Linked DNA regions of Mus musculus: all the other regions are reported to be linked to region 1. Evidence: microRNA targets listed by miRTarBase, many of them from high-throughput screens and not tested one by one. Region 1 holds a microRNA gene; each other region holds the end of a gene's coding sequence.
The links. Region 1 holds the annotated microRNA mmu-miR-876-5p (UGGAUUUCUCUGUGAAUCACUA, at 3,435-3,456, shown strand). A microRNA usually pairs through its seed, bases 2 to 8, with sites in the 3' UTR of a target mRNA and lowers its output. Matches are read on the target gene's strand: a 7mer-m8 pairs with bases 2 to 8, a 7mer-A1 pairs with bases 2 to 7 and ends in A, and an 8mer does both.

Region 2: miRTarBase lists Tle2 as a target of mmu-miR-876-5p. Seed matches in the 3' UTR shown: 7mer-m8 at 1,747-1,753.
Region 3: the mRNA of Ttc26 is a reported target of mmu-miR-876-5p. Seed matches in the 3' UTR shown: 8mer at 2,454-2,461.
Region 4: the mRNA of Slc2a4 is a reported target of mmu-miR-876-5p. Seed matches in the 3' UTR shown: 7mer-m8 at 3,663-3,669.

What each region holds. Positions count from the first base shown.
Region 1 is chr4:36,643,044-36,648,877 of GRCm38, reverse strand. Mir876 (microRNA 876) reads left to right here and starts at 3,425; the gene lies at 3,425-3,505. The region is part of intron 2 of Lingo2 (leucine rich repeat and Ig domain containing 2); the gene reads left to right.
Region 2 is chr10:81,589,047-81,594,880 of GRCm38, forward strand. It overlaps Tle2 (transducin-like enhancer of split 2), which reads left to right. Exons shown (of 21, transcript NM_019725.2): 19 at 374-450; 20 at 1,179-1,306; 21 at 1,511-1,799. The coding sequence ends at 1,286. Tle6 (transducin-like enhancer of split 6) reads right to left here. Exons shown (of 14, transcript NM_053254.2): 9 at 5,281-5,539; 10 at 4,949-5,196; 11 at 3,667-3,808; 12 at 2,840-2,993; 13 at 2,214-2,290; 14 at 1,859-2,093. The coding sequence ends at 1,989. Gm32024 (a long non-coding RNA gene) reads left to right here and starts at 5,519. Exons shown (of 3, transcript XR_003949022.1): 1 at 5,519-5,834.
Region 3 is chr6:38,423,201-38,429,034 of GRCm38, forward strand. It overlaps Ttc26 (tetratricopeptide repeat domain 26), which reads left to right. Exons shown (of 18, transcript NM_153600.2): 17 at 150-283; 18 at 1,928-4,447. The coding sequence ends at 2,039. Among named protein-coding and RNA genes, the nearest start is that of Ubn2, 7.8 kb to the right of the region's middle.
Region 4 is chr11:69,938,674-69,944,507 of GRCm38, forward strand. It overlaps Slc2a4 (solute carrier family 2 (facilitated glucose transporter), member 4), which reads right to left. Exons shown (of 11, transcript NM_009204.2): 10 at 5,386-5,589; 11 at 3,613-4,899. The coding sequence ends at 4,696. Ybx2 (Y box protein 2) reads left to right here. Exons shown (of 9, transcript NM_016875.3): 4 at 565-654; 5 at 1,201-1,485; 6 at 1,655-1,758; 7 at 1,917-2,094; 8 at 2,373-2,457; 9 at 2,553-2,930. The coding sequence ends at 2,423. Among named protein-coding and RNA genes, the nearest start is that of Ybx2, 5.7 kb to the left of the region's middle.

The sequences.
Region 1 (5,834 bases):
GTTCAGAGTGTGGAACATATATCTCATATATAATTCATAAAATATTTTATGGCACGAATCTATACTTTAGTTAAGACAAGAATACCATTTTGGAAGACCATTGATGTCTGGTAATTTCATCTTTGTTCTTGCTATAGAAACATCAGAGAGTCCAACAATGTAAAGATAAATGGTATACATTACCGCATACCTTTCCTGTGTAGTATATATTCATGAACCTATCCATATTTCTAAACACAGATCAACCTGTAAGTAACTATCTCTAAGAAGATAATAATTGGAAAATATGATGTGTCCTATATATCTTACTCAGCTTTTAAAAAGACAGTGAATCATTGCACTGTGGTCTTTCACTAATGGATAATATACCTCACCTATTTCTGACTTCAGGCACTGTAATGGGTTGAAAATAAGTGGTGCTGTTTAATTAATTAGCTCACCAGAAAATTAGTTCCTCCATAATATCTCACTCTCTGTCCATATACTTTCATATAAAATTGATAGCATATTTAACAGAATCGGGGAAAAGAGTCTTTTAGGCAAATAAATTCCCCTAAAGAGGGGCTCTCTGGGAGAATTTCTTATGTTGAAAGCTATGAGGAAGGAAGAGAGGAATGCCCAACTAGCACCAAAAACTGAATTTGGATTGTCATGTACATGTCTTGTGTAAATAAAGAAGCAACTAAAGCAATGAAATACTATAAAAATCTGCCTTGAATTCACTCTGATGACTATTTAACTGACTGGATTTCACATTTGGAATGGTTATTCACTAACCTACTTAATGTTGTCTTTTTATGTGTGGTTGTCCTCTTTCAAACTGTTGTCTGGCTTCTGAAATTTATCTCATCTACCCTGCTGGTATAGTGAAGCTCAAACAGAAAATTAGCCTGATTCCTCAGGTGATGAAAGAAAATGCTGAGTTGGCAACTCTATTATTAGGGAGGGTTTCAATTATAGATATGAGAGAGAAAACATCTGGATCTATCTTGAAGAGTCTGTAACAGAGAGAAAGAAAACCAGATTGGACATTGTGAGATCTATAGCATGCATGTTGAAATGTACTTGTGGTACAGAAGGAACACAGAGGCCAGCATGGGCTTTGATAAGCTAATAGGCACCATGGATATATTTCCCTGTACCCATATGTCTCATCTGCCATAGGTAAGGGAAATGTTTCCTTTAATAGCTGTGAACTAGTTTCTGGGAATGCTAGAATTTATCTAACCCTCAGAAATCCTCCTTTACTCACTGTAGCTTGAGCTCATTCCTGGATGTTTGGAAAGTCTGTGGCCTCACAATTATCTGTTTTCAAATCTTCCTTGACTTCTGAGTGTATTTCATCCACTCAACGTGAAGCTCAAAAGGAAATTTGCCTGATTTCTCAGGAGATTTCTTCTGGGCCAGTTTGGTTCTGAGTGTCACAATGTTCCTTGAATCCTAGGGCCTTTCCACACAGCTGTTTCTCTATCATGTACAACTGTCATGCACATCTGCCATGCACATCTGCCATGCACATCTGCCATGCACATCTGCCATGCACATCTGGCATACACATCTGCCATGCACATCTGTTATGCACATCTGCCATGCACATCTGTCATGCACATCTCCATGCACATCTGCCATACACATCTGTCATGCACATCTGCCATGCACATCTGCCATGCACATCTGCCATGCACATCTGCCATGCACATCTGGCATACACATCTGCCATGCACATCTGTTATGCACATCTGCCATGCACATCTGTTATGCACATCTGCCATGCACATCTGTCATGCACATCTCCATGCACATCTGCCATACACATCTCCCATGCACATCTGTCATGCACATCTGCCATGCACATCTGTCATGCACATTTCTCAGGCTTAATGTTGCTTAGTATCTTTATTTTCTAATTTCTCTCATTTGTTGTCTACAATCTGGACATGCTTGCTAGTTTTCACTTATATCTAAATTTTGTGTAATTTTCTACTTTCAGCAGTAGTGTAGCAGAGAACAGATGACATTTTAATTTCTTCTTTCTACTGTTTTTAATGTGCCCCGTCTGCTTCAAATGTTCTAATCCTATCCTCATTGCTAAATTGTATTGTACCTTCAATTTTTCAACTAAGTAATTTCTCACAGAAACCTCCTGCTATGACTGGATAATGTGGACTCTAAAGCAATCTATGTGGACCCTTTTTAAGGAACACAATTGTTCTTGTTGGTTTTATTTATTTTGTTTTATCTGTTTCTTGAAGCTAGGGTATGTATTGGGTTTGCATTTACTTCCTTATACCTGGCAAGCATTATGTACGTCATATACCAGCCATACGGTAAGTATATATGAATGTGTAAATAATTTTACAATTTATTTTCCACTTAAAGTTTTTCCTTGCTTAGCCAGCCAGTCTGGCCTTACTTCCCTGTTTTACTTGGGAATGCACAGTGATATGTAGTGACAGTTTTGAACACACTAAGATGTTAGATTTGCAAATTTCTGAAAAATATTGTATGTTAATTATTATTGACATTCATGGTATACATACAAAAAGTCAAAATTCTCAAATCCATAGATGGCCTGAGAGATATAATCCTAGTCCATTAAAATTTAAAAATTATTTTCTTTTTAATGATCATAAATTAAAATTCTAGTTTTCTTTTAAATCTTTAGATAAATGTTACCATTGAAGCAAACATAACAAAGGAGAAAAACGAAAGATGTTTCATTCCTGTGAATTTATTAAAGCAGTGCCCATTAGAGATTTTTTTCAGTTACTTTGGTGTTTTGTTTTGTTTTGTTTCTCAAAGCTGAACCTAGTGAGGAAACTAACATATATTTAAGTAGCCTCAGAGAGTTTCAGCCAATCACATGCAGAACTCAAACTTAAGATAGAAAAAAAATCAGATAAAATCTAAGAACTTATGCAAAATACATGTAGGCTAACTGAGACTATTTTTAGAGCAAAACAACCACATCATGTGTATGTTGTAATGTGAGATGCACGTATGAAATGTCATTCCTTATTTTACTTCTCTCCTCCCACAGGTTATATTAATATCCATATCTCAATTCTATGAGCATAGTGGGCATTTTACTTCTCTTTCATCTCTTGGTTGTTCTTGCTCATTCCTCTAATTGATCTACCTTGATACATAATACGGAAAGTATAATTTGGTTTTATGTATTTTTCAGATTTTTTCAGTGTTTCTTATTATTTTACCAATTAAAAATGTATATATTATAATACTATATATATAAAACCTGTTGATTCATGAATGTTTATTCTCTTGCTCAAATGTTGTTAAAATTAAATTAAATTATATTTTAATGCCATATGAACGATAAAAAGATGTCTTGAATAATTTTTCAAACTCTGGGCATGGTAGCATATAATTTTTATGTTCATGTGTACAAGCATTACATAAACTGTCACGTGCTATGGATTTCTCTGTGAATCACTATATCAAATCTAGTGTGGTAGTGGTTTACAAAGTAATTCATAGTGCTTCACAGGTGCTCCTACAGTTGATCTGTATTTTGAAACCTAGGATCCTTCATTGGGCCATTGAGAACAAATCCTTAAGCTATAAGATTTAAACCTTTCATAAACAGTTACTTTGTTAATTAGAGAACAAGAAGCAAAGATATGTCAAGCACTGGAAAATTAAGCTACATATATTGTAACTTGCTTGTAATATAACACCTGAGAAGCTGAGGCAGGAGGATGGCAGCATTTGAGGACTGCCTATTACATATTGCCAGGCCATCTCATATCTCATATATATATATATATATATATATATATATATATATATATATGTATATATATATATATATACACACACACATATATATGTGTGTGTGTGTTTGTGTGTGTGTGTGTATTTTACATTTATGCACAGTCTGTTCTTGTTTTTTTTAGCAACACCTGCCCCAACAATTGGCAGTATGCCCTATTTTTAAAAATGCAGTAGATCCAAAACAAAAGCACTGAATTGACATCTGCACCCATTAATTATAAGTGAAACATTTTGAAATTTAATTCTGTTACTATTACTTGGACAAATATATATATATATATATATATATATATATTAATAAAGAGGAAACATTTTTACAGAGAGCTTATCCAGTGACTTTACTGATTATGCAATTCAAATAGAAATTAATCAGGGAATTTATAAACATCATTATTTTAAAATAATTTTAAAAGTAACTAAATTTTAATACTATTCAAATGATACAGACACAGAATTAGCCAAAATATACAAAATTGTATACTTAATTTGCCATTATTTATCATTAATTCTCTACAAATTTAGCTTCTGTCATCTTTTAATGGCAAAGAAATTTAGTAAGAGTCTAAAGCCATCGTCAATGTTTGAGAACTTGGATTGTGCATCAAGAGAACCAGGGTACAATTTGCTGCACACCTGCATCATATGCATCACAGAAACCAATAAGTTCAGCTGAAGAGATCTGACACTCTCTATCACTCTCTATTGGCCTATGTTGGACCTTACACTAATGTGCATGTTCCCACACACAGATGCACTCATATACATACTCATAGTGTTAGAATAATCTTTAAAATGAGTAAGTTTCACAAGGCTAAAGAGTATAGTTGCTATCATGTTACCTACCAGTTGCTGGGAAACAACAGGAAGTTCATGGTTATTACCCTCATTAGTGTTGTTAAATGTGCTGATTCTAGAAACAGAAACCCAACCTTTCACCATTAGTTTTTCAATCGCTGGTATAAGCTCCAAAAATTTTGTTTAGTTTTGGTATATGAGCTCTTCTATTTGAAGGCTAGAACTTAGGTGTAATCTAAGCTCAGTCATATGGCAACAAGATTTTCGTAGTGATAGATTGTATTTATCTCCGATTTCTTGTGACACCATTACATTCCTAAATGATAATGAACAGGATTCTGAAATTACTTATGAATCATCATTGAATCAATCTATTATTTCTCTTCTGAAGTTATTTTTGTCTTGCTATATTAGAGCTAATACATCTTGTTTACAAGTTTAGGTATCATTACAATGTCCTAACAAATCAAAAAGTTTTTCCATTATACATTAAAAAATAAATCTTAAAAATAAAAATATATGTTACATAAATAATGATACTTTATTTGAGCCTCTGTAATTTAAATAAATCACATATGATGCAGCTGGAGAGAATCCCCACAAAATTATCTCCAATTTTAAAATAGGGTTTGAATGTGTTATCCTAATTTCTTAGGCTTTACTTCAGCATCAGTTATAATTGTCATTATTTTCAATTACAACTGCATATTTCTTTTTCTTAATACTCTATATTTCTAAGTATGTTCTTCATAGCAGTAAAACCATGTTATGATTGAAAATTCCACTCCTCTTAGAGAAGGGAATAAATGAAATAGAGCCAGAATAACAGGTTTTGGGCATAAAGCTGTTCTATAGCTTTGTGATTTGTTACTGTTTTTTAAAGAGATGCTTATCATATTTCCTCTGAGCTAAAGCTTGGTTTTAATGCCAATATTTAGTATTGTTGCTATGTAAATATTGAAGTAAGCGACAGAATTTTCTAAGAGATTTTTAGTTACTAGACCTAACAACAGGGTCACCAAATTTATCAAATAGCCATATATCCAAAACTCTTTTCATAAGTCTAACATCAAGTTGTATTTATATTAATATACTACTGGATGCTTTTATTCCTACTTTAAGTACATATAAGCAGAGTTACAGAAAAGCAGTTAATTTTAAGTGTAGTTTGGATAGAACATAAACTCTAAATTGGACTTGCCCTAAACACTCGTAAATTTTCTAAAATCTATGTGAAAATATAT
Region 2 (5,834 bases), not on the chromosome of region 1:
CCTGCCCACCCAGCTGCTTATTCAGGTCAAAGCCAGTTTAGATAAATGCACAGACACATTTAAAAAAAAAAAGATGGACCAGGCGAGGTGACTTGCATGCCTTTAATTCCAGTACTCGGGAGGCAGAGACAGGTAGATCTGAGTTCAAGGCTAGCCTGGCCTGTAGAGCCAGTTCAGGACAGCCAGGTCCACACAGAAAAACTGTCTCAAAAAAAAAAAAAGACAGCTATCAAGGACACTCCATGTTGCCTGGCAGCTCTCAGCTTTTTGATACTGCATAGTAGGCGGCTTCAGGAAGGAGTGAATTTCTAAGGTTTCCTACCCTGGTGGTCACTCCCATCCTCCCCTCTGCCCCCTCCCCTTCCCATCTCAGGACGCTGGTTTGTGAGCACAGGCAAGGACAACCTGCTCAATGCCTGGAGGACACCCTATGGGGCCAGCATTTTTCAGGTACCTGGTCTCCCCCAAATGGAGGCCAGCTCGACATTTCCTGTCCTAGACACTTCCTGTTACAGAGTCCCACACTTTGGGTCCCTCTGTGTACCACAGTGGATTTATTATAAGTACACTGTAGCTGTCTTCAGACACACCAGAAGAGGGAATCAGATCTCATTACAGATTGTAAGCCACCATGTGGTTGCTGGAATTTGAACTCAGGACCTCTGGAAAAGCAGTCAGTGATTTTAACCGCTGAGCCATCTCACTAGCCCTAGGTGGCAATTTCTAATAAGTCTCTTGAACCTTCAATGGATGTGCTATAGTGGTCTTTCACATTTCCTGTCCTTCCTAACCATCAAAGACCCCAGGAGTCTCCAATCCAGAGCAGTACCATTATCAACCCTTCACATGTCAGGGATACCCCTGTCCCTCCAGGACACGGTGACACAGATCTGTAATCTTAGCACTTGGAAGGATGGGGCAGAAGTATGGTTGGTTTGAGAGAGAATGAGGGAAGAGGAGGGAGGTACTTTGCTGTGAAGCCATCTGAAGTCGAGCTGTGATGAGTTAGGTACCATCTCTTAAGTCACCAGTCAGGCTAGCTCAGTCCCCAGCTACAAGGCCCTGGCAACAGTCACATCTACCAGCCTTTGTTGTCCTCCAAGCCCCATGCTTCTGGTCTGTAAACTTGGTGGTGGTGACCATGTGGCCACCCCTCACCTCCCCTTTCTCTGTCCCAGTCCAAAGAATCATCTTCTGTACTGAGCTGCGACATCTCCAGGAATAATAAGTACATCGTGACAGGCTCAGGGGACAAGAAGGCCACTGTGTATGAGGTGGTGTACTGAGCCATCTGCTGCCTTTTCAGGTCACCTGCCCTGGATGGCTGGCCACTCGGGACACGGGCCCCTCTGCTCATACCTGGCTTGCTCCCTCCTGGCTGGGTGGGGCTGGGGCACTGGGGAAATATAACACATTTATCAACTTGCTTTCTTTCTGTGTGTGTGTGAAGCGTACAGGTGAGGGACCCGACTGGGTATCAGCCTTCATTTCTCTTTGCCCCAATTTTCAGAGTGTGGATCTCACTAATGAGCCTCACAGACAGGTCAACATGCCCCAGGAATCCTCCTGTCTCTACCTACAGAGCTGGATCAGGGATTTACACTCACTCCTTATCCTGCCTGGTGTGGGCTTTACCAACTGAACCATCTTCCTGGCTCTCTTTAAAACAAAAACTGGGTGGGGCTAGTTTCTTAGTGTAGCACTGGCTGTCCTGAAACTATGTAAACCAGGCTGGTCTGGAACTCAGAAATCCGCCTGCCTCTGTCTCCTGAGTGCTGGGATTAAAGGCAAACACTCAGAAGTTGGAGGGCTCAGAGCTACAAAGTTCTTCCAAAACCTGGGTAAAGGACAAATCTCTGCCATTTCAATTGTTTTATTACACGCAACTCGGGATCTGCACACCCCATGGAAGCCTCTAGAAGCACTGCAGACCCATCACACCCATTGCCATCCACCACTGTGCAGTTAGGGGAGGGGAGTTGAAGTTGTCAGTACTTGATGTGGTACACCGAGGCACAGTCCCTGGATCCTGTGATGATGAGCCTGCCGTTCTCAGTCATGTCGAAGCATCTGACAGGGCCAACCTCGGGGACCTGAGACAGCAGCTGAGTGAGCTCAGTTCCTCTCCACCCAGAGCTTCAGAAATGACCCCTGTGGGGATGATGCTGAGGGTCCCGCTGACAGAGCCCCCAGTGCCCCCTGCACATAAGTACCTGGAACAGTTTTGCTCCGGTGGGCATGCTGTGGACCGTGATGAAGTTGCCCATACCGACGCTCGCCCACCACTTGCCTAGGAGGAGGGGAAGGAAGACAGGGAGGTTACAGCAGACCCCACCCATTCACTAACATCCAGCAGCACCCAGGAGGCTGAGGCAGGAGGACTGAGAGAGTTTGAGATGAGAATGAGTCTAGGCTACATGAGACCTTGCCTCAAAGAACAAGGCAGAACAGCAAAAAGTTTTACTGTTTTGTCTTTTGTTATGTTTTGCCGTCTGAAGCCTTTTATAGCTCAGGATAGCCTTAAGCTCCCCAAGTAGCCAGAGATGACTCTGAACTCCTGATTATGATTATGTTAATAAAAGATGTTGGAGTGTGGACAATACCCAAGCCCTGACTGGGCACTGAGTAAATAGCAGGGTCCTCTGAGAGGCCAGTGGCCACAGTGTGCACCCATCCTCAGTGGACTGGTTTCCCAGACAGGGTTTCTTTGTGGAGTCCTGGCTGTCCTGGAACTCTGTACACCAGGGCTGGTCCTGAACTCAGATCCACCTGCCTCTGCCTCCCCAGTGCTGGAATTAAAGGCGTGTGCCACCATGCCCAGGCTCAGTGGACTCCTTACCATTTGGGGAGAACTTGAGGCCTAAGATGGTGTTGTCCTTGGTGTCCACAGTGAGCACCTGGTCCCTCTTCCTGCTGTTGAACAGGCAGTGCTGGCCATTGGCCAGGCCCAGCAGCAGCCAGTCTTCGGTCGGACTGTGAGCCAGGCTCATGATCTGGGTGAGCCAGGCAGAGGTAGCAATCAGACCCCTGCTGGGCGGCCAGGCTGCAAGGTCCCCGCCCGAACGCCCGCCCACCCAATGACTCACTGACTGGCTGTGGCCCGACTGTGTCTCCACACCTTCCTTCTGTGAGGTGTATGAACTTCACAGGGTTAACTATGGCAGTGACAAGTCTGTCTCCCTGGTTGGTTTTATTGGGACATGGTCTTGCTCCATAGCCTAGGCTGTAGTGACTTGCCACATAGCCCAGGCTGGCCTTGAACTCCAGCATAAAATATTTGCAACGATAGTCTTTGAGACCGGCTTTTATGTAGCCCAGGCTATCCTTCAGGTTCCTGTGTAGCTGATGACCACCTTAAACTTCTGACCCTCCTTCCCCCAGCTCCCTAGTGCTGAGTGACAGGAAAACATTCTACCCCCTAGATCCAGCTCCTTCTCCACTATGTAGCCCAAGATGGACTCACTTTTTCATCCTCTTGCCTCAGCTTGAGTACTGGGACGACAGCCTTCTCCACCATTGTCCAGTATGACAAAAGGTATTTTAAAGACCCCTGTGACTTCTCAAAAATTCCTTGAGCTGACCTGGGCTGTTCCCTCTCCTGACACTGAGTGCACCTTGTCATTGTACCCAAAGGCCCACGCCTGTGCAGCCACCCTTCCTGTGCACCTGGGACTGGAACAGATGCTCCAGTGACACCTTGGCCATCCGCAGGTCCCAGCATCGCAGGCAGGCGTCCAGACCCCCTGTCCAGATGTTGTCATCTTTGACCACAAGGTTCCTGGCCGAATTGGTAGGGCCTTTGAGGTTCCTGGCCAGAAAGCAAAGGGGTAAGCCTAGGCTCGACAGTCCCTAAGATTCCCTCAAAGCCGTGGGACTAACCCAACCTGAGGTACTCTTAACACCTTTGGCAAGAAGGCAACAGTGACATCATCCTAGTCCCTGCCTCTAAAAGGTAATGTTCCAATACCTATAAATCCAGTACTGAGGAAGTTGAGGCAGGAGGATTGCCATGAGTTCCAGGCCAGGCTAGGGTACATAGAGACCCTGCCTCAACAATGAGGGTGATGGAGAAGACCCAAAGCTGGCTGTGGTGACTCACAATTGTCATCCCAGCTACTCGGGATTAAGAGAGGATGATTGCGAGTTAGAGCCATCCTAGGCTTCAGAGCAAGTTCAGCATCATCCCTGAAAACGTCACCTGATCCGACCTTAAGATAAAATCTGAGCAGGGCTTGGCAGCACAAGCCTGTCATCCCAGCACTCTGGAGGCAGAGGCAGGTGGATCACTGAGTTCCAAGGCTAGCCTGGTCTACAGAGTGAGACCCTATGCCAGATAAAATGAATAAAAGTAAAAGTGTTGACCAGATGGCTCCCAGGTCACTCAGTGGGTAGAGGAGAGCCGAGTTCCAAGAACCCACTTAGTGGAAGAACAGGCTCCTGCAGGTTGTCCTGAGCCTCTGTTCTCCCTTGTCCTACAAGAATTACAATGAGCTGGGCAGTGGTGGCACACGCCTTTAATCCCAGCACTTGGGAGGCAGAGGCAGGTGGATCCAGGCCAGCCTGGTCTACAGAGTGAGTTTCAGGACAGCCAGGGCTGCACAGAGAGAAACCCTGTCTCGAAAAACAAAACAAAACAAAGCCCACGAAAAACAAGATTTACGAATAAGCCAGGCACACACAGCACTTGGAAGGTGAAGGCAGGAAGATAAGGAGAGTTTAAGGTTCTCCTCCTCTGTGCTTGAGGACAACCTGGGCTACATGAGACACTTACCCTAACCTAAAGGTAAACAAGCAGGCTGTGGGCGTGGTCAGGGATAGGGTAGAGTCCCACCCAGAATCCCCTAGTGAGGGGACTAGGGTGTGGCTCCACTCTGGGGGAGTGGGGTTTGGGTAAGAGCTCAGAACTCGTAGTCCGCAGCTCACAGTGCTCCTGTCCCTGTGTCTGCACCTGACTATTTCCTGAGTCCGTAGGTCCCATATCCTGACCGTGCCATCTGTGAAGCCGGCAAGGGCCATGTTTTCCTTTGTGTTGGCCAGTGCCTGGCAGGACAGGCCCTCGCAGGGCAGCTGGCACTTCTCATACAGGGATGGGGCTGCCAGGTCCCACACGATCACGCCAGGTAAGTTGTATCCACCCGCGAACAGGGTCCTGCTGTTGGAGGACAGCAGGCAGGTGCGCAGGTACACCTTGTTGTCCTGCAGAGGATCGTCCCGGCGAGTGAGGGTCAGTCGTGGCTCTTCCAGCACCTCCCATCCCCAACCCCGTCCCTGCCCCGTCACCTGGACGCTGCATTTCAAGTGGCTTTCTGGGTCTCTGTCCTCGGCCACCTGGTTCACGAGGTTCCACACCTTGATGCCGCTCTGGCTGCAGGTGAAGACGTGCCGCGTGAAGGAGCTCACAGCTACCACCAATAGCAGTTCCTGGTGCTTCAGCACACGCACCTTCTGCAGTGCTTGGGGGACAGTGAACCTCTCTAATTGCCAGAGTGCTGTGCTAGGCTGATTACAGCTGCTCTCTAAGACTTCAGAGCCCCAGGACCTAGGGATATGGGACACAGAGTGAAGTTTTCAAGACAGGGTCTTAGTCCAGGTTGGCCTTGAACTCTGTATGGAGCAAAGGCTGACCTTGAATTCCTAATGCTCCTGCCTCTACCTCATGAGCGCTAGGAGCCAGGCTCCAGTCACATTCTTCAGTTCTTGCCACAGCCACACATGCGTCCCTACTCTAAAACGCTTTGCTCAAGTCGACTGAGCTCCTGTGCACCCTTATAGACCTAATTATTACAGCCCCTTCTCCAAGACATCGTTCTCCAACTACAAGACTGAGAATCTAG
Region 3 (5,834 bases), not on the chromosome of region 1:
TTAGTTAGGAATTGAAATGTACCTAAGCTGCTACCTCAAAATTTTTTGTGCATTTGTTTCATCCCGTTCTGTTCACTATTCTATATGTTTTTTTCTGTCCCACCTCTTGATTAAATGTCAATACTACCACCATGCTTTCTTTTGTGCAGATGGGCCAGTTCTACTATTCAGCCAAAGCTTTTGATGTCTTAGAAAGACTGGATCCCAACCCTGAGTACTGGGAAGGCAAGAGGGGTGCCTGTGTGGGCATCTTCCAGATGATCTTAGCTGGGAGAGAACCCAAGTAAGTGAACAAATGGACAGAGCTGCCTCTATCCACCTGCCCCTGGTGAGGAGCTTAAAGGTAGAAATATTGAGATGTTAACATTGCATGATCATTTTCTTCCAGAAATGTCTTATTTTATGAAATCAAATGACTCTAAGTCATACATACTGGGGACTCTAAGCCTATGAGAGCCTCCAAATCCAAGGCAAGGGGCACATCAGGCTCTGGATGAAGAGCCATTTCCACAGCAAGTGCCATTGATGCTTCTGCCCTCTAAAAAACCCTTCTGCTGTCTAATTTAGGCCTCAAAGAAATAGAAATGGAGTAGACATGGTTGATAATTATTTTGCTTCTGCCTTCTTTCATGTATTCCAGGAAATGCTAAGGTATTTGATTATGTAAAAACTAAGAGGATTATACTTCTATGTGGATAAAAACTAAAATACTTAAAAGAAAATTCCTAGCACTTGGGAGTCTGAAGCAAAATAGTGGGCTCAAGTCCAGCAAAGTCAACCAGGGCTAAAACTAATTCATTAATTTAGTGTTATAAAAACAGTTCTGTGGGCTGGAAAGATAGTTCAGCGATCAAGAGCACTGACTGCTCTTCCGAAGGTCCTGAGTTCAAATCCCAGCAACCACATGGTGGCTCCCAACCATCCGTAATGAGATCTGATGCTCTCTTCTGGTGCGTCTGAAGACAGCAACAGTGTACTTAGATATAATAATAAATAAATCTTTTAAAAAAAGTTCCATGCAGTATATTTATTGCTTAATGCATATGGATAGAAAACTGTAAAAATTTTGCAAGCAAATTATCAAAATTTACTTCCTGCCTTGTGTTTATGTATAATCCTGAATACAAGCATTTAGTCAGATGCAGGAGGTTCCTCGGGCCAAGAAGTGGGAGGGGGTGGGGAGGGTTTGGGGGACTTTTGGGATAGCATTTGAAATGTAAAATAAGAAAATACCTAATAAAAAATGAAAAAACGAACAAACAAACAAAAAAGACAAGACCACATGGGGAGCAAATCCACAGACAGTTGCCAAATCTCTGATGAGACACCAGAGAAGCTTCAGCCTGCCTCACCTAAACTCCAAGCTTTAATTATAATAAATCTTAACTTGGGGCTGGAGGAGGCTTGTGGTTAAGAGCATTTGCTGTTCAGTCATGAGGATCACAGTGTGAATCCCAGCACATATGTCAGGTGCTCACAGACACCTGTAAGTTCAGCTCCAAGGCATCTGACACCCTCTTCTGTCCTTCTCGGGCACTTGCATAGTGCAAATATACTCATACATACATGCACATATATACACACAGATTATATATATATATGCATAGATACACACATACATAAGGATGCATGCATGCATACATAAAACGAGTTTTTAAGTTAAAACATGTATTAGTTAAAGTGCAAATGCTGGGCATTCACCAAATTCTGGTCCTTACTGCTATTCTCATTTATATTATATTTGAACCCTTTTTGAGCAAATATGTGGAAGAAGCAACCCATTGTCATGGCTTAGAAAAGTAGCAGCTTTGAAATGCCCAGTGGAGGGTCCATGAGCACAGACACCTCATTGCAATATAGTACTATGTCGTGAGATCGCTAGTTTTTCTTTATTAAAAAAAATGTGTTCTCTAAAACCTTTCCTCAGAGAGACCCTCCGAGAAGTGCTGCATTTACTGAGAAGCACAGGAAACACCCAAGTGGAGTATATCATCAGGATCATGAAGAAGTGGGCCAAGGAGAATAGAGTGCCCATCTAAGCAGCCAAACCCTAGGCCAGGACCAGCTTCCTCTCACGTCAAATTGGAACTGTTTTCTTGCACTTGAATATGCAATCCAGGACCCTGCTTGATTGACATTTCTTTCCTTGCTCTTAGAGCATTAGGATGAGTGGGTGGTATGTGTGGACTTAGGCATCAGGCAACAGGAATCTCCCTGGCCTGCTGACACCCAATGTAATCTACTGGTGCCTTTCTTCCATAATCATTCTGAACACTATTCTGTAATTTACTGGCTTTAGGAATAGATACTAGTTTTGTTTTTCTTTCTCTGTTAGCATTTCAGGACATATCTTTTTTCTTCTTCTTTTTTTTTTTTTTCTGAGACAGGGTTTCTCTGTATAAGCCCTGCCTGTCCTGGAACTCACTTTGTAGACCAGGCTGGCCTCGAACTCAGAAATCCACCTGCCTCTGCCTCCTGAGTGCTGGGATTAAAGGCGTGTGCCACCATGCCCGGCAGGACATTTTCTCCTACCTGCAGTAACAAGTACCTTTATACTAGAGAATTGCCATCATTTGATCATATTCCATCATTTTGTACATTAGCCCATCCATGACTACATCTCTGACTCCTGGGAGACGTCTTTCTGAGCTGTGTGATTCTGAGGATGGCCATGAGGCCCTCTACCAAACAGCAGTCAGTAGTAGTTAGTTAGCTTATGAGACCACTCTCTGTGAGTAGCTTGTTACGTTGAGACAAGCTGAGTATATGGTTTTAAAAAGGTGAGTGAAAGGAAAAACTTGGCATCTCTGAAGGTGTGTAAGTCTCAGAGTTAGGTCTCCCTTGTATTTTAGGAAACAAAGCCAGGGCAGGGTTCTTACTATCTTCTGAATGAACAGCAATTTTGAACATAGGACTGGGAAAGTTTTCATGAAATATATATATATGTATATTTTTTCTGAGACAGGGTTTCTCTGTGTAGCCTTGGCTGTCATGGAACTCACTCTGTAGACTAGGCTGGCCTTGAACTCGGAGATCCGCCTGCCTCTGCCTCCCGAGTGCTCGTATCAAAGATGTGTGCACCACTGCTCAGCATACGTACCTGTTTATATTGCGCACACATGAACACATCGTAGGGATTTATTGATACAAGTATAAAGCAGGTCCTTTGAAGAGACCTCCTAATGGCTAGCCTCTCCATCATATCTCAGCCTCGTGTCTCTGAGCTGTCATCACATAAACTTCTTTTTTCTACAACAAAGTATTGTCAGGCTTCCATCCTACTTTCAGAAAACAGACATACATCTTTTTGTGTATCAGATTACCTGCTTGTTTGTATGCTCTGTAATTTTCTTCTGTAGGTCTGAGGTACACAAGCTAGAACATACAGACCCATCCTCATAGAGCAGGGACTGCACAGAGGAGGAGGTGGAGGAATTTTTAGAAACACCATTAATTCTTCTTCCTTCCCAGCCTCCTGCTGCAGATGGCAGATGGGAGTTCTGCACAGAAAGGAGAGGGAAACCTGTACAGAGTAAAACAGCTGAAGCAACAGGACCAGAGGCTGAACACAGCCTTCATCTCTAGCCAGTCCCAAGGTGTTCCTCAGCTCTGTATCTCTGAGTCCTGGGACAAGTCTTCCCGAGAAGATGGCCAGTGTGCCATCTTTTACATTAGGATCAGATATGATTGGGCCAAAGCACAAAACACAGTACTGGTCTAACAGAACTGCAGGAAACAAAACTGCACCATTTCCTTATGCCAGAGCTTCTTGTCTTGTTCTGGTGTTCCCTCTTTTTCAGTAGCACCTGGTTCTCTTTGCCAAAGGTACTAGGTGGATCAGATATGACTAAACCTGCTATAGTTCTGTGAATCATTCTTATGAAACTTATTTTGCTTTAAATACTTGGAAGCAAAAGAGTGGGATGCAGATCAACTCCTGGGAGCTGTTGACATCTTCAGTGACACACTGTTCAGTTCCAGCTTCCTGAAAGACACTCATTCACAGTCATGGACTTCCCAGTGAGACATTGTGAGTTTACTACTTAGTAGTCTCTGACATTTTCCTTGAGAGAAGACGGTCTGTCCCCAACAGCAGAATTTTAGATTACTGTTAAAAGTTTTTAATCTACAGGATTGAGACAGAAACATGAAGGCTTGTTAAAGAGAAGCACATTCAATTCTGTTAGGAGGGATAATTGTTTCTGATTGTCTTGACAGGGCATCAAGTTCGTACTGTGTTCTCTCACAGATGACAGCCTGGAAAAGAAGGGCTTGGCTGGGGAATGTGTAATTTATACAGTCTATCATAGCAATGTACTATTTAAAAATAGTCTGTAGTGTATACTTAAAAATGGAAAAAACACTTTTACAACTATTTTTGTACAACAAAAGAATCACATACCACTGTACTATATTTAAATTAAAATTTATTTTTTGGTTTTTGTCATGTGTGTTCATGTTTATGCAGCTGTGTTCACGTGTAGAGGTTAGAGGTCAAACTGAGTGTCTTATCTCTTTCCACCTTATATTTTATGAAACATGCCTGGAAAGTTAAGGTATATGCATATGCTAGATACCATGACTACACATTTGCCAAATCTAGTGGAATTATATTTAAAATAAGGGGCTTAGGAGCATTTAATACAGGTTTTGTTTGTTTATTTGGTTGGTTTTTCAAGACAGGATTTCTCTGTGTAGCCCTGGCTATCTTGGCGCTCAGACAGTAGACCTGGTTGACCTCGAACTCCTCTGACTTCTGCCTTTGCCTCCTGAGTGCTGGGATTAAAGCTGAGCACCACCCCCATGAGGCAGAACATAGTTATTTTTTTAAGCCTGGTAAGATGGCACCACAGATAAAGGTTCTTGCTCTAAAGCAGTGCTTCTCAACCTTCCTAATGCTGCAACCCTTTAATACAGTTCCTCGTGTTGTGCTGACCCCCAACCATTTTTTTTTTTTTGCTGCTACTTCTAATTTTGCTACTGTTATGAATCATAATGCAAAGATCTGTGTTTTCCAATAGTCTTAGATGACTCCTGTGAAAGGGTTGTTTGACCTCCAAAAGGGGTCAAAACTCACAGGTGGAGAAGCACTTTTGTAAAACCTGGTGGGTGTCCTGAGTTCAATCCCTGGAATTCAATGGAAGAAGGTAGGGGAGAACTGACTCTATAAAGCTGTGCTCTGACCTGCACATACACATGTGTACATATGGAGATACAGACAGCAATAATGTTTAAATAGTGAATAGAAAGTAAAAAGAAAAGACTTAGCTTCCAAGAGTATATGCTCCTGTGATGACTACTACTACTTAGGGAATAACATTAACATCGTGGATAAGATCCAAAGAAACTGAAAATTAAGGTCATTTTAACTTTACCTCATTGCACAACAATACAAAGCGTTTAAATTATCAGAAAAACCTATACAAAAATGAAGCAAGTAGACAATATGAAGGGGTTTTTGAAAGATGTATAGGAGAAAGCATGACAGACGAATGCCTCTGCTCAAACTTACCTCTTGTCCAAACCTGTATATGGGCTTATGTCATCCATTAAAGCAACGAGACTGATGGATTGGATCACAAAGTAAAATCCAAGGCTGGGCTGCTTGCTCTTACTGAGAACAAAGTAATTCGTGATCATTAAAGTGAGAAGACGAGTGGCAGTGCAACTGGGAAAATGCAAATAGAGAGAGAGCAGGTGCCATAATCAAACAAGGTTGGATTCAGGTCAAAGTCATTAAGCAGGCCACAGAGACACACTTGGAATGACAGAAGCTCTGTTTCCTGATGAACACAATGGTTATGAACATGCAACAAAGGAAAGGCACCAATATT
Region 4 (5,834 bases), not on the chromosome of region 1:
TTGGGTGCAGTGAGTCTCAGTGTGTTCTGTGGGCCAGCAGCAGCATCACCTGAATCCTCAGGCCCCGCCCCAAGCCACTGAATTAATCCGCCTCGGGGCGGGGCGGGGCCTGGGCACTCAGTTTTGACCCGCTCCCAGGTGATTCTGATGCTAGTTTGAGAACCACTGCTGTGGTGGAAGTGCTCGGTGGGATCGAGGTAAGAAGCACAGCACGTTTCACCCACTTTGCAACTTGAGATGTTCTTCAGCCTGTTTTGCTCCTGAGTTCCTACTGCCTCCATGTCTTGAAGTCCTTGAGGGGTACAGTGGGGAGGAAGGACATCTTGGGGATAGCGGCTCCCTCAGACCTCTAGCTCTTGACTTTGCCCTACTAATATATCTCTGTCTTGTGGAGCTGTGCTCCAGGCCCTCCCCCTCCCCCTTTGACCATTTTCATGCTCTGCCCTCCAGCCCTAGACTCCAATAAAATGTCACCAAGAGTGGAGTTGGGTGGAGGCTGAAGCTGGTCCAAGGGATCCTGGCTTTGCTGCCCTCACCTTTCTCATGACTTTTCCCCCCAACCAGACAGCTATTAAGAGAAACAACCCCAGGAAGTTTCTGCGGAGTGTTGGAGATGGGGAGACTGTGGAGTTTGATGTCGTGGAAGGAGAGAAGGTTTGGGTGCTGCTGTGGGGTGGAGTTGGCCAGAACTGTGGGAGGGTGGCCTGGAGGTCAGCCGAAGCTCTGGCCCTCCTGGGACCAGCTCTGCCTCTGCCTGTGAACGCTAGAGCTGCTCTAGGACATGTCCTAAAGAACCCATCCCTGTCACCAGCCAGTAACATGTGGGTTTCTTCTCTTTAGTTCACCAAGCACTTCCATGTCTGTTTTCTACACGGGACCCCAGCCCTAACAGGACCCTCAGTCAGTCCTCTGGAATGAAGGAGGGACAGTGGCTCTCTCTATCTCATCCTGTCCTGTCTTTACACTCTGGGGGGAATGTGGCAGTTATTTCTAAGGACAAGTTGTTTCTTCTCAGATGGGTACAAACTCTTTCTGCTGCCCCTCGGGGGAGGGGACAAAGGAGGAGTGGTTTTGAGGAGTGATAGGGTAGAGGACTTGGGCCTGAAGAAGTGGGACACCAGTGATCTGGCAGGTTTGTAAGTACTGTGTGTGTGTGTGTTGTCAGAACAGGTTCTGATTGCTCCCCCTCTACCTCCCCAGGGTGCAGAAGCTGCTAATGTCACTGGGCCTGGGGGGGTACCAGTGAAGGGCAGCCGCTATGCCCCTAATCGACGTAGGTTCCGGAGGTTCATTCCTCGGCCTCGCCCAGCTGCCCCACCACCTATGGTGGCAGAGGCTCCCTCAGGTGGGACAGAACCTGGCAGCGAAGGGGAGCGGGCAGAGGACTCGGGGCAGCGACCTAGACGACGGCGCCCACCACCCTTCTTCTATCGAAGGCGGTTTGTGCGAGGCCCTCGGCCCCCCAACCAGCAACAGCCCATAGAGGTGAGAGGAGAGTTGCAGCCGGGGAGGCTAGTTCTCTTACATTATGGAAAGAAGTTGGGGAGTTGTGAGGGCAGAGACTGTGGTCCTCACAGGAAGTAGAACGAAGAGCAAGGAAGCTCCAAAGACATCAGGCGTTCCACAGCCCACCTAGGCCTTTGTGTATTCCCAGGGCTCTGATGGGGTAGAACCCAAGGAGACAGCACCATTGGAGGGTGATCAACAGCAGGGAGATGAACGGGTGCCCCCACCCAGATTCCGGCCCAGGTACCGAAGGTAAGACTGTTGTTTTGTCTTCCCCTTCAGGGTCCAGTGTTGGGCCTGTGTGAAATGACAAAAGTTCTAGAGCCTGGAACAGATGGGGACAAACCAAGGAATCCTGGGAAGGGAGTCTGCCCAATTCTCTGATCCTGTCAGCTTGTTTCTCTTTCTAGGCCTTTCCGCCCCAGGCCACCCCAACAGCCTACCACAGAAGGTGGGGATGGAGAGACCAAGCCCAGCCAAGGCCCCACTGATGGCTCCCGGCCTGAGCCCCAGCGTCCACGAAACCGTCCCTACTTCCAGCGGCGTCGGCAGCAGCCCCCTGGCCCCCGGCAGCCTATAGCCGCAGAGGTGAGGGTCTTGGTACTTTCTGTCCTTTTGCACCTCTACTTTCCTTGTCCCTGTCCCTCTGGCATCCTCCCTGGCCCACCCCTGGCTGGCATTACTCACCAGGAAACCCCTATGCAGGCAAGTCAAGCCCAGGGTGCCTTTGCATGTCCCATCCCCATGCCCATCTTTGGGGTGTGAAGTGTGAGAACTGGTTGGAAGGGATGAGAAGAGGAAAGTTAAGAAAAGGTTGAAGTAGGGGGCTGTAAACAAGTAAGTCTCAGTTCACCACTGCTCTTCAGACCTCCGCGCCTATCAACAGTGGGGACCCCCCCACCACCATACTGGAGTGATTCCAACTCAGAGGACACCCAGAGCTACCATCTGGTGAGTGCTACATCTCACCAAGAGCCGGAGAGGGGGAGGGGTGGTGGATTCTGCCAAGTGACCCTTTATGATTGGTCTCCCTCTCTTTCTCTTAGGTATCTGCCAGTTTCCAACTGACTCTACCCAGCATCCCCCTCCCCACTTTCCCATAATTCATGACATCAAAACATCGGCTTTTCCCTTGAGACTCAGGAGGGCCAAAGCACCAGCCTTTGGCTTTTTTCTCTTTTTTTTCCCTCTCCCCTAGCATGGGTTGAAGGAAGGGATCCATCCTTATTGTTCCGAGGCATCACCTCCCTCCCTAGTCAGGCTGAGAAGGAACCAGCCAGCTCATACCTCCTCCTGATTGTTTTTCTTCCCCACCCATTTATTTTTTGTTTCCCTTCGACCTCCCCCCAACACCTCTGAAGCCATTTTATGAACTGTCATGTGCCACCTGAGCCTCCAGTAAAAACAAAAGCAGGCTTTCTTGTTGTCCTGGTCTCTGGCTCTTCTGTTTGAGGATGAAGACTCTCTGGTGGGGCTGAGACCCGAACAGTGGGCAGGGCCTGCTAGTACTTCCTTGCTCCAGTACCCCTAGCTATTCAGTTGTGACATGAACCCTTTCACCAAGAGTAACTGGATCTGTTACTGGGGGTGAAGTCTCAGCAGTGCCCAGGCACTTGTAAATACAGTTTACAAACCACTTACTGTTCATTTAGGCAGTGGATAAGGGCTGGAGAGATAGATCAGTGGTTAAGAGCACCGACTGCTCTTCTAGAGGTCCTGAGTTTAATTCCCAGCAACCACATGGTGGCTCACAACCATCTATAACAGAATCTGATGCCCTCTTCTGGTGTGTCTGAAGACGGTGACAGTGTACTCACATAAAATAAGTAAATCTTTAAGCAGTGGATAAAAATCAAAGTAGAAAGATGTGCCAGCGCTCAGAGAGCTGAGACAGGATTCCTAATTCCAGGTCATCCTGAGCCACGTTTCTGTTTCCAGAAAACAAATTGTTTTAAAAAGTAGAGCATTTGGGTTCAGGCCTGCAAACCAGCTCTCTGGAAGGCTGAGGCAAGAGGTTTGCTACAAGGCAGCCTGGGCTATGCAGTGAAACCCTAGTTTTTGGAGGAGGGCAATGAAAGTGGATGTAAATAAGTGACAGCTGGGCATGGTGGCACACGCACACCTTTAATCCCAGCAATCGGGAGGCAGAGGCAGGCGGATTTCTTGAGTTCAAGGCCAGCCTGGTCTACAAAGTGAGTTCCAGGACAGAGAAACCCTGTCTCGAAACCCGCCCCCCCCTAAAAAAAAGGTGACAGAATCTAGAGGCCTCGGTGCCCTGAGCCCAGGAAGGATGAAGTGCAAAGGGTGAGTGAGGCATTTTCTTTTTGCACACCCTCCAGTTCCTCCAGCACAGGACACTCATCTTCAAACAGTGACTTTATGGACGAATCTCTATATACACATTTAATACAGCAGCCCTTGGGTTTCTGCTCCCTATCCGTTCTTCAAAACATACAAAAATACCAAAGGCTCCCTCCCAACCAGTGTTTATAGGCAGCCTTTCAAATCCCCTCCCGCCCTTAGTTGGTCAGAAGCTTTCGGGTTTAGCACCCTTCCTGGAGGGGAACAAGAAAGTGTTGGTACCTACGCTTTGCAGCCCTGGGAACAACCTAGGGCCCCAAATGGAGACTGATGCGCTCTAACCGTCCTTGCCCTGTCAGGTATGTACTATTGTGTTCCTTTGCCCGGGAGGGTGGAGCCTGTGGGGAGGCAGGGCTAGATTTTGGGAGGGTGTATCCTTTGCCCTGGAGGGGTCAAGACAACCCCCTTCACCCAGAGCCTGTGTGGCAAGAGTTCAGTGGAAGTGCCAGTTTGTGGGAGGAAAGCACTCGCTCACACACCCACCCCTGCTGTTTATCCTGATGAATTCAGGGCCACCCCACCCTCCTGCAGACCCCTTCTCGAAAGGGGAGGAAAGTAGTCTAGAGCTGAGTCTGGGTAGGGGCAGGAGGAAGGCAGGACGGAGAAAGCCCATCTAGGTGGCCACAGCCTAGCCACACACATAAATAATCCAAAAGAATCACACAGGGGGAATGAGGGGTACATGGACCACCCCTCCCTTCAGCTTCCCAGTTCCCCAGGCTGCTGTTCCTTCAACCTGGAGGTAACAGGGAAGAGAGGGCTAAAGTGCTGTAGAGGAAAGGAGGGAGTCTGGGTGGAGAGGGTGGCTCTCCCACCCTGTTTTGCCCCTCAGTCATTCTCATCTGGCCCTAAGTATTCAAGTTCTGTACTGGGTTTCACCTCCTGCTCTAAAAGGGAAGGTGTCCGTCGGAAGGCAGCTGAGATCTGGTCAAACGTCCGGCCTCTGGTTTCAGGCACTTTTAGGAAGGTGAAGATGAAGAAGCCAAGCAGGAGGACGGCAAATAGAAGGAAGACGTAAGGACCCATAGCATCCTGGGACAGTTGGAGAAAGAAATGTTGACAGAGATGGGAAGCCAGGAACCAAAGACTAAGGAAACTGGGGCTATGTGAGGAGCAGGTTTGCTCCCTTAAGAGGCAGTGGCAATGACCAGAAATGAAAGCTTTCACTGAAAATCTCATTTAGCTTTTTTACCCTTTGCTCTCCTAAGTGTACAATTGGAGTAGATTTCTAAACCACTTATAGCATTAATAGAAAGTTTAAATTATACCACTGGTTTATTTTTTAGAAGACTTCTAAATCTAAGCTGCTGGATTTCCACCTATTTCCACCCATCTATTTCCGCCTGCCTCCCCCTTGATTGTGGTGAAGTAGTTCCACCAGACCTATCTTCCAGAGACCACCTACATGGCTGGGAGTCCCTGACCAGACAGTGAGGGAACTGGGGGGGGGGGGCCGGGAGGATTTGCCTTCCCTCTGGCCACGGATGTGGGAAACTGGGCAAAGGGTAGGGAACCTACCGCAACATACTGGAAACCCATGCCGACAATGAAGTTACAGGTCCAGTTGGAGAAACCAGCGACAGCCATGGCGGCTGGGCGGGGGCCCTGGCTGAAGAGCTCTGCCACAATGAACCAGGGAATGGGGCCAGGGCCAATCTCAAAGAAGGCCACAAAGCCAAATATGGCCACGATGGAGACATAGCTCATGGCTGGAACCCGTTCCTAGAGACCAGGAAGGAATAGCAGAAAATTTGGTTCTGGCCTTTCCCCTTGCCTTTGGCCCAGAGAACTGAAATCTTCCAGGGCTTAATCGGGTAGAAGCTACCATTCTAGGCTAAAGCAGGCCTAAAGCATCCCCCGTCCACTGCCCTTTTAGACAGTGTCACATGTTGCCCAGTTTGGCCTTGAACTTTCAAGGCCTCCACCTCAGCCTACCAAGTGCTGCACTGCCCCAGAGCGTTTCTGAG